Linked DNA regions of Caenorhabditis elegans. The protein of the gene in region 1 purifies or fractionates together with the protein of each later gene. This does not show direct contact. Each region holds a gene or a part of one and is shown on either strand. Other genes may lie near its edges.

Evidence for each region.
Region 2: the proteins of ggtb-1 (region 1) and B0495.5 fractionate together in Caenorhabditis elegans (co-fractionation; one large-scale study listed by BioGRID). This does not show direct contact.

The regions. Positions count from the first base shown.
Region 1 is NC_003281.10:7,130,187-7,137,918, reverse strand, and holds ggtb-1 (putative geranylgeranyl transferase type-2 subunit beta), read right to left. Parts: upstream 4,154-7,732; 5' UTR 4,037-4,153; coding exon 4,034-4,036; intron 3,987-4,033; coding exon 3,861-3,986; intron 3,807-3,860; coding exon 3,732-3,806; intron 3,677-3,731; coding exon 3,448-3,676; intron 3,396-3,447; coding exon 3,120-3,395; intron 3,075-3,119; coding exon 2,911-3,074; coding exon of another isoform or gene 2,603-2,910; exon of another isoform or gene 2,557-2,602; coding exon of another isoform or gene 2,459-2,556; exon of another isoform or gene 2,411-2,458; coding exon of another isoform or gene 2,085-2,410; exon of another isoform or gene 2,033-2,084; coding exon of another isoform or gene 1,948-2,032; exon of another isoform or gene 1,897-1,947; coding exon of another isoform or gene 1,856-1,896; exon of another isoform or gene 1,646-1,855; coding exon 1,511-1,645; 3' UTR 1,394-1,510; downstream 1-1,393. Other genes in the region: Putative tyrosine-protein phosphatase B0280.11, read left to right, coding at 119-445, 565-954, 1,003-1,119, 1,162-1,377; B0280.17 (K Homology domain-containing protein), read left to right, coding at 1,856-1,896, 1,948-2,032, 2,085-2,410, 2,459-2,556, 2,603-2,835; pot-1 (Protection of telomeres homolog 1), read left to right, coding at 4,254-4,370, 4,417-4,564, 4,611-4,708, 4,766-4,846, 4,891-5,033, 5,179-5,327, 5,382-5,470, 5,520-5,612 and 2 more; viro-2 (WH1 domain-containing protein), read right to left, coding at 5,920-6,114, 6,159-6,670, 6,998-7,391, 7,487-7,630, 7,678-7,732. UniProt on the Caenorhabditis elegans protein: Catalyzes the transfer of a geranyl-geranyl moiety from geranyl-geranyl pyrophosphate to both cysteines in Rab proteins with an -XXCC, -XCXC and -CCXX C-terminal.
Region 2 is NC_003280.10:7,694,258-7,701,830, forward strand, and holds B0495.5 (thioredoxin domain-containing protein), read right to left. Parts: upstream 4,238-7,573; 5' UTR 4,227-4,237; coding exon 4,189-4,226; intron 4,145-4,188; coding exon 4,002-4,144; intron 3,958-4,001; coding exon 3,803-3,957; intron 3,757-3,802; coding exon 3,613-3,756; intron 3,556-3,612; coding exon 2,292-3,555; intron 2,246-2,291; coding exon 2,110-2,245; intron 2,062-2,109; coding exon 1,752-2,061; 3' UTR 1,678-1,751; downstream 1-1,677. Other genes in the region: Protein moa-2, read right to left, coding at 4,418-4,569, 4,665-4,776; cdk-11.1 (Cyclin-dependent kinase 11.1), read left to right, coding at 5,056-5,119, 5,164-5,214, 5,260-5,372, 5,420-5,543, 5,587-5,752, 5,806-5,897, 5,948-6,166, 6,236-7,283 and 2 more.

The DNA of each region.
Region 1 (7,732 bases):
ATTCTATTATTTTACTGTTCTTGCAATCCATATTAGAAGAGGGGCCTAAGTAACATTCCATTTTGCAACGCCCTCAGAATCAGTAATTCAATCTTCTACGTAGATTCTATATTTTCAGGAAACTGGTCCATCAAAAACCCCGTCAACGATAGCTCTCCGTCGTGCTGAAAGTCAAATGGAACTTTCTGGAAATCGAAAGAACGTTGAGAAAGGTGTCAAAACGTGGGTGGAGCAACTAGAAAAACTGGTGGAAATTCGTAAACTTCTCGAGGCGGACTTCAAACCAATTGACACAATGAAAGTCGATTTGGAAAAGTGTCAGGCATTCAAGAAAAATATTGATTATTGTCAGTCGGAGAACGTGGAACTTTATGATGCCAATCGAGTTAAAGGAGGAGGTGAAGCTGACTTCTTTTATCACGCAACTGTGACATCCATTCCATCGGTAAGCAATTGAGAGAAAGAGGGGGGCTCCCTCAACTCCATTATACTAACCAAAATCGTGGCAAGACCCTGCGAGAAAGACAGTGTTATTTGTAGAATGTTAACTTGAATATAATTCAGATAAGCACAAAGTCTACAATTCTTGCACAACTTCCTTTATCCGACTCTCCACATTCACTTGAATCATTTTGGTTGATGGTTGCCGCACAGAAAATTCAAAGACTCTTCATACTTATTGGAGAAGATGAGCTAGACAAGGCTGCACTGAGCGAATACTTTCCAGAAGATTTCAAAGAATTTAAAACAATTCGAGTCAATAATCGGAAGACTGTGTCGAAAAGTGATGAACAACCGAATACTCAATTGTATTATGAAGTTGTGCCAAAAGACTGTGCAGAAGCTCCATTCGCAATGATCGAGATTTGTGATTTTTGGCCAGATGGTAAAATTCCGACAGTTAGCTACGGAAGGATTGCTGCCACTGCAGCAAGTGTCTTTGATTCTGATATTGTAAGTTGTTATCCTTAATTAAATTTCACTGAAACTAATTTTTTTCAGGATAGTGACGCAACTTGTGCTATTGTGAGCAACTACGGTGCTGGAAGAGCCGGGTCATTTCTAGTTGGAGTTCAGGCAATTGAAAAATTGCAGGCTGGGGATGCACCTAATATTAAGGTATTTTCACTGTTTTTGAATGAATCAAATAAGATAATTCAGGAAATTGCAATGTCGATTCGTTCCCAACGTCCGTGTGCAATCGAGACTCTTCCACAGTATGTGTTCACTTACATCATTGCATTAACTTATGGACTCAAACATGTCAAAGATCCCGTATTGAAGTCAAAAACTGAAAAAGTGATCAGCCAGCTGGAACAATTCGCATGTGAGAAGATGATGGAGGAGGATGAGGAGGATAATACTACTTGTGAATAGGTGTTAATAGAGAATAAATTGGTTTATTGTATAATGTTTGTCCGGTCGTTTTGAATTTCAGGATATTTTCGATACGTCTTAGATTAAATAATAATTTATTTTAATCAGTATCAATTTAAATAATTACAATAAATTAGTAATACATCTCCACTTGCTTATCACCGAGACATCTCTTGGTCATGCAGAAAATTGGGTCCACTGACTCCAATGTGTCGTCTCCAAACAGAGAAAGTGCAGCTATGCCAAAGACCGTGTGGAAGGGATCCGCCTGAAAAAAATCAAATATAAAAGTTAAATTGGCACGTTTAATAATTATTTCTTCAAAAATTTTTTTTTGGAAAATTGAAAACGTGATCCATTTTTATTTATCCTACTGCCCTCAATTGAGATTTCACTTTGATCGATCAATAGTTTAGTACTCACCGAATAGTTTATTAACCACTTCGTGAAATTCGCTTCCGTCTCGACGCAACGCGAAATGAGCATCCCGGAGTCATCAACTAATTGTTCAACTGGCAGGTATATAAATAAACGTTTTCAGCTGTTCCGACAATGTTTTATTATTTTCAGTTATTTAGACGATCTGTTGAAAGAGCTTCAGATAATGACTAACATATACGAATCGAATGATAGTGTCAAATTTCGAAATGCTCATGTAAGCTTGAGATTATATATGATCTTAGTATACATGTGGGTCATGTTTTCAGAATCTTCTAGTTCGTGAAATCAAGCGTGTTTATGACGCAGAAATGATCGTGAATGGTCTCGGAAGCGGAACACCGCCACCCTCTTTCCTCGGAAGAGCTAATGCTGGAAAAGATGAATCAATGGATCTATCCTCGCTTAGAAATCTTCTGAAGGATGATCCGTTGTTGATGACACCACCACCTGGACTGCAACGTCGCCAGACTTTCAGCCCAATGACTTTGTCATTGATTGGAGGTTTGAAAAATGGTTGTTCTGAGAATGAAAATAAGGAAGAGGGGAAGTTTGAGAAAATTGACAAAGTTTTCTTTCCTCCCGAGACTGCCAAGTATAGTTGATAGTATTGGAATGGACGTTCCAAAATATGACCTTTCAGCAATACTAATCCAGTCGGACGCCTCATTGGTCCACGTGGAATGACAATTCGCCAACTCGAAAAAGATCTCGGATGCAAGCTGTTCATTCGCGGAAAAGGTATATCTTGCAGTTTGAGAAATCAATAATCTGTTCTATTTTGCAGGATGTACAAAAGATGATGCCAAAGAAGAACGTCTTCGTGAACGTGTTGGCTGGGAGCATCTCAAAGAACCGATTCACGTGATGATTTCAGTCCGCTCCGATTCGGAAGAGGCTGCATCCGAGAAACTGTCATCTATCAAGAAAATGCTTCAAGAATTTTTGGAACATACTGACTCGGAACTCAAACGCTCTCAGCTTATGCAACTAGCTGTTATTGAAGGAACACTCAAATAATTGCTTTGTTGTGGCCAATACATTATTTGATTGTAATACAAATATAAATTTCTGAATATTATTAAGAAAACTTACACAATCTCCGGGCCTGTCTGCAAATCCTCCAGTTTCATCATCTTGACAAGCGTATATGAACTTTTTCATAGCATCAGAATCAATGAAATTGAGGCGTCCGAGAATGGCGAGAGAAGCGAGAACCCACCAGGAATAACATACATCGGGTAATTTCTCAGGCCGACCTGAATTGAAAGTATTTTATGTTTATAAATATCTAATAGTCTTACCATTTAATCCTCCACTATCACATTGCCTGAAAGCAAGCCATTCGGCTGTTCTATCTCTATCAATCTCATCAAGTCGTCCGGCAATCGCCAGAGCTCCAACACAACAGTATATCTGTCCGGAATGACTTTCAGATCCTGGGCGTGTTCCGAATCCACCATCCGTATTGTAACATCTCATGAGAAATCGTACAGCTGAATCGATATTCAATGTGGACAGTCGACCAAGTAAATGACAAGTAGCGAGAGAGCACAGAGTGAATCGTGTATCAACTTCTCCTTCAAATTAATTTTTTTCTAAAAGGTTTTTTTCAAGAGAAATATAACTTACCAGATAAATCTCCACAAAAGCTTCCGTCTTCTTGTTGCAAGCCTTTCACATATTCGCTGATTGTATCCGCATCTGCTTTCTCAATTGAATTGAAAATAATCAAAGTTTGAACAGCACACAGTGTGTGTAGAAGATGACTATCATGACCAGGAGCAGGTCCATATCCTCCGTCCGTGTTCCGACAGCCAAGTACGTAATTCACGATTTCCTCAGTCGACATTCTCTCGAGCTGAAAAAAGAATTTATTATCTATGTACACAGAATAATTCTAAAAATTCTCTCACCTGCTTTGATAAATCCATCGCGTTGACACACCAATAAATTCCGCTCACTCTCAGATGTTCAGCCATTATATAATGCTGAAATATAATTATTTAATTTATTTCCACATCTAATATAACATTGCCACTTACATAGCTATTTTTGTTTTTCTCGTATTGATTGATAAAGTTAGCATGTAGATCTTTCAGTAATTCGTTTGGAGAATTTTGCGGCAGATCGACATCCTTCCGAGCAAAATCTAAAAGTCCAGCAAAGCTCTGAAACCTTTACATTCTAAAAAATTATGTTTAATAAATTTAGTTACCATTTTTAGGTTGAAACCGTTGCCAAATTGATGAAGAAAGCGTGTAACTGAAGAAAAATTATGAAATTTTTATCGTTGAAAACATTAAATATGCAACGAACGAGGCTCCGAAATTACGAATCGCGTGTTGTTTAGCGAGAGCGCCAACTTAAATTTAGTTTGTTTTCTCTGTGTTTTTGTTTTACCAATTCCTTTTAAATTATTTTTACAGATTTTCAGAATGCAATACACTTACCAGCACATTCAGGATTTGGTACCGGGTCCGACTCCACAAAACTTCTACGGGAAAATAATTTTCATCAAGAAAAAAATCAACCAAATTGTTGTTCTTATCAAAGTGAGTGATTTATCGATTCTATCAATTATTGTCATATGATTTTTAGGATGAAACGCAATCTATCTATTTACGAGTAATACCAAAAGAAGACCAGGAGCTTGAATTTCAGCTACGCCAAGTGGTACGAGTTCATCGGTGCAAAATTCAGTCAATTCTCAATTCAAAAGAAGGAATTGCTCAAATCGGATTATTTGGTAAAACTTATTATGTGACACAATTACAATTTCTTAAGTATTCCAGGTTGTCATCTTATAGCTTGGTCTCAATCCGGAAAAGTGGATAATCCTGTTATTATCAGCTCAAGATCATGGACTAAAAGCGATGAAGACAGTGAAAGGGTCAGTTAAGATAATTGAAAAAAGTTTAATGTGTTATTGAATTTTCACAACTTTCAGCTCCAGACGCTCCGCAAACTAGGAAAATCAAGAAGAAAGTCAGGTCGGAAAACATCAGTTGATACTATGGCAAACAAATTAGTAAGCTCAACTGTTTGTTGAAAATGCTAATTATATTGTTATAGATTGAGCGCCGAGAAGCGATGTTTGCTGATACATTTATCAAGAGCCTTTTCAACAAAATTGCACTTTCAAGAAAGGAACATCTTTCAAGAAATGCTCGAGAATTGTTCTATCACCGGCCTGGAGACATTGTTGAAACTCAAAAGTCAGAAAATTAGTCAATTCCTAGGTGATAAATATGAAACGGTTATTGAATTTGTACGGAAAATAATGAAGTTTTAAAAAGAAAGAAAATTATCGAAAAATTTCCCATATTGATTATTTTTTGACCATCTTATATATAATTTCAGTTTACTAGAAATTGATGATTCTTGGTTCAACGATGAGAATTCGGAACAATTTGTGCAATATGTATTGAACTGTACAACTTGTCATGTCGAATACAATCACGTTGAGTATGCACAAAACAATATCCCAACAAATTGTCGGTTCTGTCAAGGTTAGCCTTTTATGGAGTCAACAATGTAAAGAATCGAACCATATTCATTTTCAGAAGCAATGGAAAGTTTCCACGCTGCATTTCGGATTCGTATTTCTATTGAAACTTATGGAGTATTTCTTACAATCCCTTTGGAATTGATTGTGAGTTTCTCATTTTTCGACCACTCTTAAAATATAATCAAAATCTCAGAAAACGGAGCTGGACATTTGTGAAGATTGGGATTCTGAAAGCAATATCGTAGAAGAGGAAGAGAAAGTTACTAGATTCAAAAAAAATATTCAGGTACGAATCCTAGCCAATTTGGAAAGCATAGTTCAAATTTTAAAAATTTCAGGAAAAGGTTCGCGATGCGTCAATTGTGCATATAAAAGGGTTGGTAGTGTTCCGTTCACTTGAATTGAAGTCAATTGATATTCATCTCTCGGAAGTTGTTTTCTACAATATTAATATTTGAGTTTTCAGTATTTCTTCGCTTCTACTAATAATCATGTTAAATATAAATTCAATTTCACTTGTGAATAATATTACTGAGAATAAACGGATTTTATTGCAAAAGTCTAATGTTCCGTCTAGTTTACAATTAAAAATCCTAATCACTCCATTCGTCATCGTCGTCGTCAGATTCTTCGGAATCACTTGGATTTATTCCGGATCTTCTTGCATCGAGGAAGTTCTGAATCTGATCGACAATTGTTCCAGACGTCGTTGATGGGACAGATTGCCTCGTTTCAGGTGTATCACTGACTTTACGCAAGACTTGTGAACGATCGGTTGAACGGATTTGCTGAAAAAGATTCATAGAAAAATATTGATTAAGTCGAAACTTACATCCATTAGACTTCTTCGATCAGAATTAGATTCTGGAACAGCAGTTAATCTAACTGTTGGTGGCCCAGAGATTTCTTGTTCTAGAGCCGGTGGTGGAGGTGGAGGTGGAGGTGGAGGTGGAGGTACAGAAGAAGGCGTTGCAATCGGTGGAAGTGGTGGAGGTGGTGGTGGAGATTTACTAACTTCGGCAGGTTGCGGAGAAGGAGAAGGATTTGGAATACGTGATGGAGGAGGAGGAGCAGGTTTTGGAGTGGTAGGTGGAGTTGTCGAAGAGTACGATGGTCCAGTCGAAATAGGGAATTTAATAGTAGGCGGAGCCGAAGGAGGGGGCGGTGGAGCCACTCGTGTTGGTGTTTTAGGTTCCACTAGTTTGAACTCAGCAAACTGATCAACTTGATGAGAATGTGAAGGTGCATTTGGAGTTGGAGGAGGAGTCTGCTTCGGTACAGTGTCTGGTTTTGTAGCCCAACGATAGGAGTCACGATGAGTTGGAATTCGAGGAGTTGAGAGACCTGGAAATAAACAGTATATGAAGAATGTCCGAATAATAATAATAAAAGTTAAAAAAACACCACTCCTGGAAACATCTGACAATCTTTGACCCCCCTTGAGTCAAGTTCTTTTATCAAAATTTACTTTCCAAAATTGCAACTGTTTGGTAAAAGCTTGAAAACATATTTGAGAGTTATTCAGCAGATGTTGCAATGAGGCTGCCTACTGAGAAGCTCTACAAACACTGGCACCTATCTTTTTTTTTTTGAAAACTGAAGCCCATCTCTTAATCAGTACCAAACAGAAATCAACTTTCCTTCCTTACTAAATACATTCAATATACCTACCTCCTCTAGTCATCTGATCTTCTGGATTTCTTGAAGCACCTCTACTTGGCAACTCTGGCGGTGTATCGTCCATTTCAATTTTCTCAATTTGATAAGTTTGTTCAACGTGTTCTTGTTCGAATTTATAAATGTTTTGAGGCTGTCGCTGATTTGTAGATCCATAAGTATCTTTTCTCGGAGTTTCCCAGTCCGTAGTCTTGATGGGATCCGCAGCAAAAGTGTGACTATGTTTGAATGATGTTGCTGCGGTTACTGTAGACGAAGACCGGAACGACGCAGACATGGAACTCGTGGAATTAGATGTCCAATCGGGATTCAATGGATCACCAGTGATGACTGGTACAATCGGTTGAGAAACATCCTCGACTTTTGGTTTGTTACGTCCAAAAAAGCTCTGAAAAAAGAAATAAATCGGTCTTAGATTTTCAAATTTTGGACAACAATGTTTTGGAGTCTTATTTGTCGACTTTTGTCAATTTTCGGACTCACTTTACTTTTTTTTTTATCTTTATTTTTGTCCTTAACTTCTTTCACAGTTTGAGATTCTTTTTTCACCATCAATGATTGTCTAATATGATCTTCATTTCTTACAATCACTTGCTTCACAATTTCCTCTTCTTCTGGATTATTCACCTGAAATTTCAACGTAGTCTTGGCAATAGAGGTTTGGAAAACTATACATTCAATTTACTCCTAACTTGCATATACAAATCTTCTTGTACATCTGTCAACTTC
Region 2 (7,573 bases), on another chromosome or scaffold:
CAATTATCACAGTTAATATTGCTTAGAACAATTTTTCGTTGTGTTAAAGGTACTGGTAGATGTTTTCAAAATGTTCAGTAAACGTTTTGGCAGATTGCCAAATTAAAAAAAAAAACTTTTTGAAAAAGTCTTGCGTGTCAGATTTCCTGAAAAATTCTACGAACTACAAGAGTGTAAGTCTATTAATATATATACTTTTTTCCCAACTTTCCAATTGCAAAAAGCTGGTCACCATATTTCCTCTATTAGGGATCTAGTAGTATTGCAACTCTGCGAACTAAGAGAAAAGTTGCAATACTATAAATATTCCCAATATACTATTTTTTTCGCACAAGAGAAAATAGAAAAATGTGAGTTGATGAGTAGGAAAAATTGTTCTATCTGATTTTTGTCATTATTTCTTCGATATCTTCAATGTTTCAAGGACAACAAATTATAGCAATGAAATTATACAAATTAAAAATAAAATAGTAACGCAGGGGGTACGGTAAGTTCAGAAAATTAAAATATCGATGTTCATTTGGCAATGACAAAAACATGGCATAACATACCACACCCGGTCTATAAATAGATTGAGAATTCAAATGTTTCGTAATTTTGACCACAAAAAATAAATTCACAAGTGTTTTCAAAAAAACCGGGAGGGAGCAAGGAAGCCACGTCCGCATGATAGTCGACAAAAAGTGGGGGAAAAGGCCATAAAGATAAGCAATTGAGAGCAAGAGAAACGTGTACGCGGATGTGACGATCGAAAGGTAAAAAGTAGATCAGAACGGGTTAAAATCAGATATTATTTGGAGCAAAAAAGGACCAAAGAGTCAAAGGGTTTTATTCCCAAAACATTTCTGGGAGATTACAGATGCCTTAATGCTAAATACTACATCTAACATTGTGAAAATTTGTTTTGAAAAATACTAAAAGAGGAAAAAATTGCTATGATTCAAACTCTTCAATAAGATCAACTCAGCCTAATTGGAAATATACTACAATCATTTCTATGTTATTACAGTTGTTATATGATTTACCTTTCACCTCTCATAGAACTTCCATATATTGTTTAGCAGATGTAGTGATAATGATTCAGGTACTCTACAAAAAATTGGATACAAAAATGCCAATATATGGGCGTGGCTTCACAAAGAGCAGTTCAGAAATTCGTCTTCTATGATTCTCAAGAAAATTGCCAAAAGTATTCCTATTCCAGACTAAATAGATCTATTTGAAAAATTTTTATGAGAAGTGCAGTTAATACTTGTCAATAACTTGGAAGGATCTAAAATCAAAAATTTAATATAGGATGTACCGTTTTTATTTTTTAAAGTACTCGAAAATATATATCATTTTAATTTCACACCTCTCTAAAATAACAATTTTAAAAAATTAGAAAAATCATAAATAGGCTTCCCTAGTTACATATATATTCATAAACTAGAAAATGAATAATAATTCATTCTTATCAAAAACTGAAACTAGTCTCTGGAATCAATAAACCAATTCAAATCGTGCCATTGCGGCCGAAGAGCGCTAATAAATTAGCTTGTAAAACTTTGGCAGTGTCGTCAGTGCCTGTGATGATAAGAGAACCGTCCTCTAGCACATTACATGCAAAGTAGTACAATCTGTTAATTTATCAGTAGACACGTGGTGGTCGCCACAAAGCTGAAACTGATGTTCGATAAATGACTAAGCGTTTATTCAACTGACAAAAAATGACATATTTACAGTATCTGGATAAGACAAAATCTACACATTCAGAATTTATTGAATAGTTCTTCTAATTCCTGAATGGCTTTAACTGGTCTATCACAAACGAATCCTTTACACATGTACACTGCAGGTTTCGGTCCTTCAGCCATTGCCTTATGAGAAGGTCCCGATGCTGACAAATCTTCTTCTGATTGAATATGTACAACAGACAGGTTATTCAAGAACTTTTGATTCAGTCGGCTTCGAGTTTCGGACAAAAGTTCAGATTTCGGATCACCAACGAGAACAAATGTGGTAGATCCAATTTGCCATCGATGAAGTGCGACTGCCATTTTTGGTAGGGCGATTGGGACCCTAAAATTAAAAATGTTGCGAGCTCAAGCAAAAGTTGTTCGATATTACGTATTCAGTCGCTCTGAAGCTCCCCGGAAACACTGATTCGCCTTCTCACGATATTCCTCCTTTTCAAGAATGTCATAAAGCCTAAGAAGGTTGTTTGATGCGATTGAAGTGGCTGTGGGCTCTGCTCCATCTTGATCTGAAATTTAAGTGTTATGTGTACTAATCAAAATTAAAATAGTAACCTTCAATCATTCTCACAGAAACATCTTCATCGGTTTTCTCGCTGATGAAGTATCCATTTCCGTTCCAGAACTTTACATCACAAATTTTCTGAAGCTCAACGGCTTTCTTGAGATATTCATCTTTGCCAACTGTTGTATAGAGATCCAAAAGAGCTTGAATCAAAAACGCATAATCGTCAGAAAATGCTCTTATTTCTTGATTGCCTTGTTCAACTTCTCCATTAGCACCCAAATATACAGATCTTCTAAGCTCTCCATTATCGTCTAAAAATTTTCCGATGAATTCTGCACACTTTTCAGCTCGATCCAAATATTTTGTTTCTTCAGTAGCTTGATATGCTTTCACAAGTCCTGTGATTGCTAGTCCTTGCCACGAAGTAACCATTTTTGAATCAAGATGTGGGCTTGGTCTTTGTGTTCGAGCATTCCACAAAATTTCTTTTGCTTCATCGATTCCTTTCTTGAGTTCCGCAACAGATATTTCGTGATTCGTGGCACACTCCTCATCAGTCAGCAACTTTCTCAGGACATTTTTATTCTTCAGTTCACCATGGGGATCCGAAGATCGTGCAACATTTCCACTATCTTCAACATCGAAATAATCAGCAACTACATCGAAAAGTGAAGCTGATCCAATTTTCTTGTCTCCCAATAATTGTTTAATTTCTTCTTTCTCCCAAGCACAAAACGCTCCTTCAACTTTATTCGAAGAATTATGATTTGGCAAGGAATCAGCATCTTCTGCAGCATAGAATCCACCATCTTTATGACTGATCTTTTGCATGTATTGGTAGATGTCATTAATGACATGCTTTACATTATCATGTTTTCTTTCTGTCAATTTATGAAAATCTGAATATGTAGCCAATAGCTGAGATTGATCATACAACATTTTCTCAAAATGTGGAATATGCCATTCGGATCCGACAGAATATCGATGAAATCCATTTCCAATATGATCATGGATTCCTCCATCAGCCATTGATTCCAAAGTTTTTTGAAGCATCATGATACTGTCTTTGGCTTTTTCGGATTCATTCTCGCTTGCAGCAAAAGTGATTAGAAAATCTAAATCACAAGCTTTTGGAAATTTCGGAGCTCTGCCAAATCCTCCAAGTCTGCTGTCAAAAGATGATTGTTTGTGAGAATATATTGATTTGAACACTTCTTCGGATCTATTGACATCCCCAGAAGCAGTTTCAGGTTGAAGAAGTTTGATAATTTGGGCTCCGCGTTGTTTCAAACTCTCTCCTTCTTTTTTCCACTGAAAAATTTTAAAACTTTGGCTAATTTTTAAATGAAAAGATTTTGTGGCACCTACTTCAGTATGAATCATGTTGAGGATAGTTGGAAAGCCGAGCATTCCACGGTTGTCGTCTGGTGGAAAATAGGTTCCGCCAGTGATTGGATGAAGATCCGGTGTTAGGAAAACTGACATTGGCCATCCACCGTGTCCACTTGAAGCCTGAGATGGAGATATTGATTAAAACAATTTTAATTTTGTTTCATACCACGACAAAAGCCATATAGAGTTTATCAACGTCTGGTCGTTCTTCTCTGTCAACTTTGATAGCCACGAAGTTGTCGTTCAGGATTTTTGCTGTTGCCTCATTTTCAAATGATTCTTTTTCCATCACATGACACCAGTGACAAGTTGAATATCCAACTGAAATATTAAAGTTTGTTTGATAATATATTTTGATTATCTACCTGACAGGAAGATAGGTTTGTTATTATCTTTAGCCTTCTGGAATGCTTCTTGTCCCCACGGATACCAATCGATGGGATTGTTTGCATGCTGGAGGAGGTAAGGACTCTTTTCCTGTCCAAGACGATTTTTGTACGTTGAAGTCCTGATTTGTTTTGCTTTACAATTTTCATAATTGAATAAACTTACATTCGGATAACAGTTATTGGTGCAAGCGCTCTTAACATCAACACTGTCTCTGAATTGTTATCTTTTCTAAAATAAATTATCACTAACACGAGCTACCATGAAGTATCATAGAGTAACCAACATTTTTTCCAAATTTCTACTCAAGGTTAAATATTCTCAAACACATTGAATGGAGATCAAATTACTTCATAAAAAATATAAAATAAGTTATTCAGATAGTTAGGCGTCATCAAGAGGATTCTTCTCTGGAGGCGGTCCACACGGCTGAATCATGCGATTTATCAGATTGAAGCGGGTTCGAGCTCGGCTCTCGTTCTCCACAACGGCAATATACGTGTTCATTCCGGGATGAGACATTTGAAAGGCGCGAGTGTCGCGGTGCTGGAATATTATTTGTTTATTCAAACTTTCTATAGATTTTGGCAGTAGCCGTTTACCGTTTTAAAGAAATTTATGAGAAAAAGAGAGAAACAAACCTGATTCACAATCCATTCGTGACGGTTCATGTCGCATGGCCGTACCGGTGTATTTCGATTGAAGATGCTCCAATTGAGCAAGAACGTGGAATCGTTCTCCGGGAAGAGCCATTTTCTGGAAATCTACTAATATTTAACGAAGAAACCAATGTAACAGTGAATTTATATAAATAAAAAAGAGGGAACACATGAAACTTATAGATAAAAGATTATTTAAGAAGTCGTCGCTGTTTTTAAAAACGATAAAAAAAACAAGTGTCGTAAGAATGCGCGCACGAGGTGTAATCGGTGTTTGCGTACTTGTCCACCGTACTCCTATTCGAAAATGTTTTCTTGATCAAAATTGTTAAATTTATATTCAGAATTATTTCGTTTTCAAGATAAAATCATTATGAGCGACCACTTGGGAAGTTCTCATGACGAAGGTGAGCTGTCAGATGAAAGTCACAAGAAAAGTAAGTAGGTTTCACAAGTTTTGAGTGTAACTTATTATTTCTAGGTCAAAGAGCGTCGAGTTCCGATGAGCCAAATCCAGCCAAGTCGAACAAAGGTATATAAAGTGATTAAATTTGAAACTACTAATTATAAATTTCAGGTTTGGAATCAAAAATGCGTGAAAGCATATTAAGTCGTCTGAGCAAGCGGAAGAACAGTGAAAGCGATGATGATACCACAGAACAACGGTTTTCAATACAGCCTAAAAACGCTGTATGTTAATTTTTGTGTATTACTGTTTTAAAATTATTAATTCACAGCAAAAGGCAAAAGAGGACCGATATCGAGATAAAGAAAGAGATAAAAAACGGGAAAAGGACAAACGAGATGACAGAAGAGACGTGCGTGGACCAGATGCTCGACAAAAAGATCGTGATTTCAAAGGTAATCAGCAAATAGAATAAGAGGTACTTATTAATACTTTTAGGACGACAGGAAAGATCTGGAAGAGATCAGAAAGTACATGAACATAGACATCATCACCATCATAGAAAACACGAAACAGATGGGCACCGCACAAACAGAAGTAACAGAGATCGTTCGTCTGAAAGAGACTCAGAAAAACACAAAAGGCATATTGATCGTCATAAAAAGTAAGTTCGTTTCTTTCTGAAAAGAAATTAATAATTTTTGTTTGATTTTTTAGATCCAGCACAACTTCTCCTGATAATGACAAATCGCCACACAAAAAGTCAAAACATACAGATGTTCCAGCAGATGCAAAGCTCTTTGATAGAAGTATTTTAAACCACATACATTTTATAGTGATTTAATTTTGAAAATTTCAGTTCTCGACCCGAACTACAAAAAGAAAGATGACGATGTTCTCGTGATTGAAGATGTAGAAATGTCGCCAATTGAGATATTAGAAGAAAAGGAAGAGAAAGAAATTGTCGAATTCACTATAGACTCACCAGCTGGCCCCAAGAAATACTCAAAATTCGAAAGCGACCCAGAAAGTGATCATGACGATACTAAACCGAAGAGCCCTGGAAAAGCTGAAGACGGTAAAAATTTGCCCAGTATCAAAATTGAAACAATTAAGTTATACTTTTATTCATTTAAATCAATTATAGATGACGATGTCATAGAAGTATTGGATGATGCTCTACATTCGGATGATGATGCAGATAGCGATGAAGATAAATATTTAAAAACACCAGAAGATCGAGAATGGGAAGAAATGACTGAAACTGAACAAAGACTTCATAAAGAAGCAATGAAAAAACGTGCGTCAATGAAACAAAAAACATTGATCGCCCAGTTACCTGTTTTTTATCCCGGTCTCATGGGATGTAGAAATATTGATGAATATGAATGTGTGAATCGAGTTGATGAAGGAACATTTGGAGTTGTATATCGTGGAAAAGATAAACGAACGGATGAGATTGTCGCGTTAAAAAGACTGAAAATGGAGAAAGAGAAAGAAGGATTTCCAATCACTGCTCTTCGTGAAATCAATATGCTTCTAAAAGCTGGAAATCACCCGAATATTGTGAATGTTAAAGAAATTCTACTAGGAAGTAATATGGATAAGATCTACATGGCTATGGAGTTTGTTGAACATGACATGAAAAGTCTTTTAGACACAATGTCTCGTCGAAACAAACGATTTTCGATAGGTGAACAGAAAACACTTCTGCAGCAACTGCTATCTGGAATTGAACACATGCATAAACTTTGGATTCTGCATCGTGATCTCAAAACATCCAATTTATTGATGTCTCACAAGGGAATTCTGAAAATTGCCGATTTTGGACTTGCTCGTGAATATGGAGATCCACTGAAAAAGTTTACATCAATTGTTGTAACTCTCTGGTATCGATCACCGGAATTGCTTCTTGGTACACGTCTCTATTCAACTCCCGTTGATATGTGGTCTGTTGGATGTATTATGGCAGAGTTTATTCTCTTAAAACCATTGTTCCCGGGACGCGGTGAACTTGAACAAATTAAGAAAATTTTCATGGAAATGGGAACTCCCACGGAATCAATATGGCCTGGAGTCACTGAACTCGACGGTTGGAAGGCATTGACATTTGAGAAGTATCCATATAATCAATTGAGAAAGAGGTTCCTAGCTGGAAGACTTCTCAATGACACTGGTTTTAAGTTACTTAATGGGTAAGTTAATTGGTTTTTTTGCGAATATCAATATTTAATTGTTTTTTTTTCAGCCTACTCACTCTGGACCCAAAGAATCGATTCTCCGCTACACAAGCTCTTGATCACGAATGGTTCACGTGAGTTGAACATTATCACTTAAAAATTGTTTAATCTCAAATAACTAATTTCAGTGAAGAACCTTATCCAGTGCCACCGGAGGAGTTTCCAACGTTTCCCGCTAAAAGCGAACAGAATAAAGCTCCACCGCCGGCGAAGCAGAAACAACAAGAAAATCGCATTTCTCATGT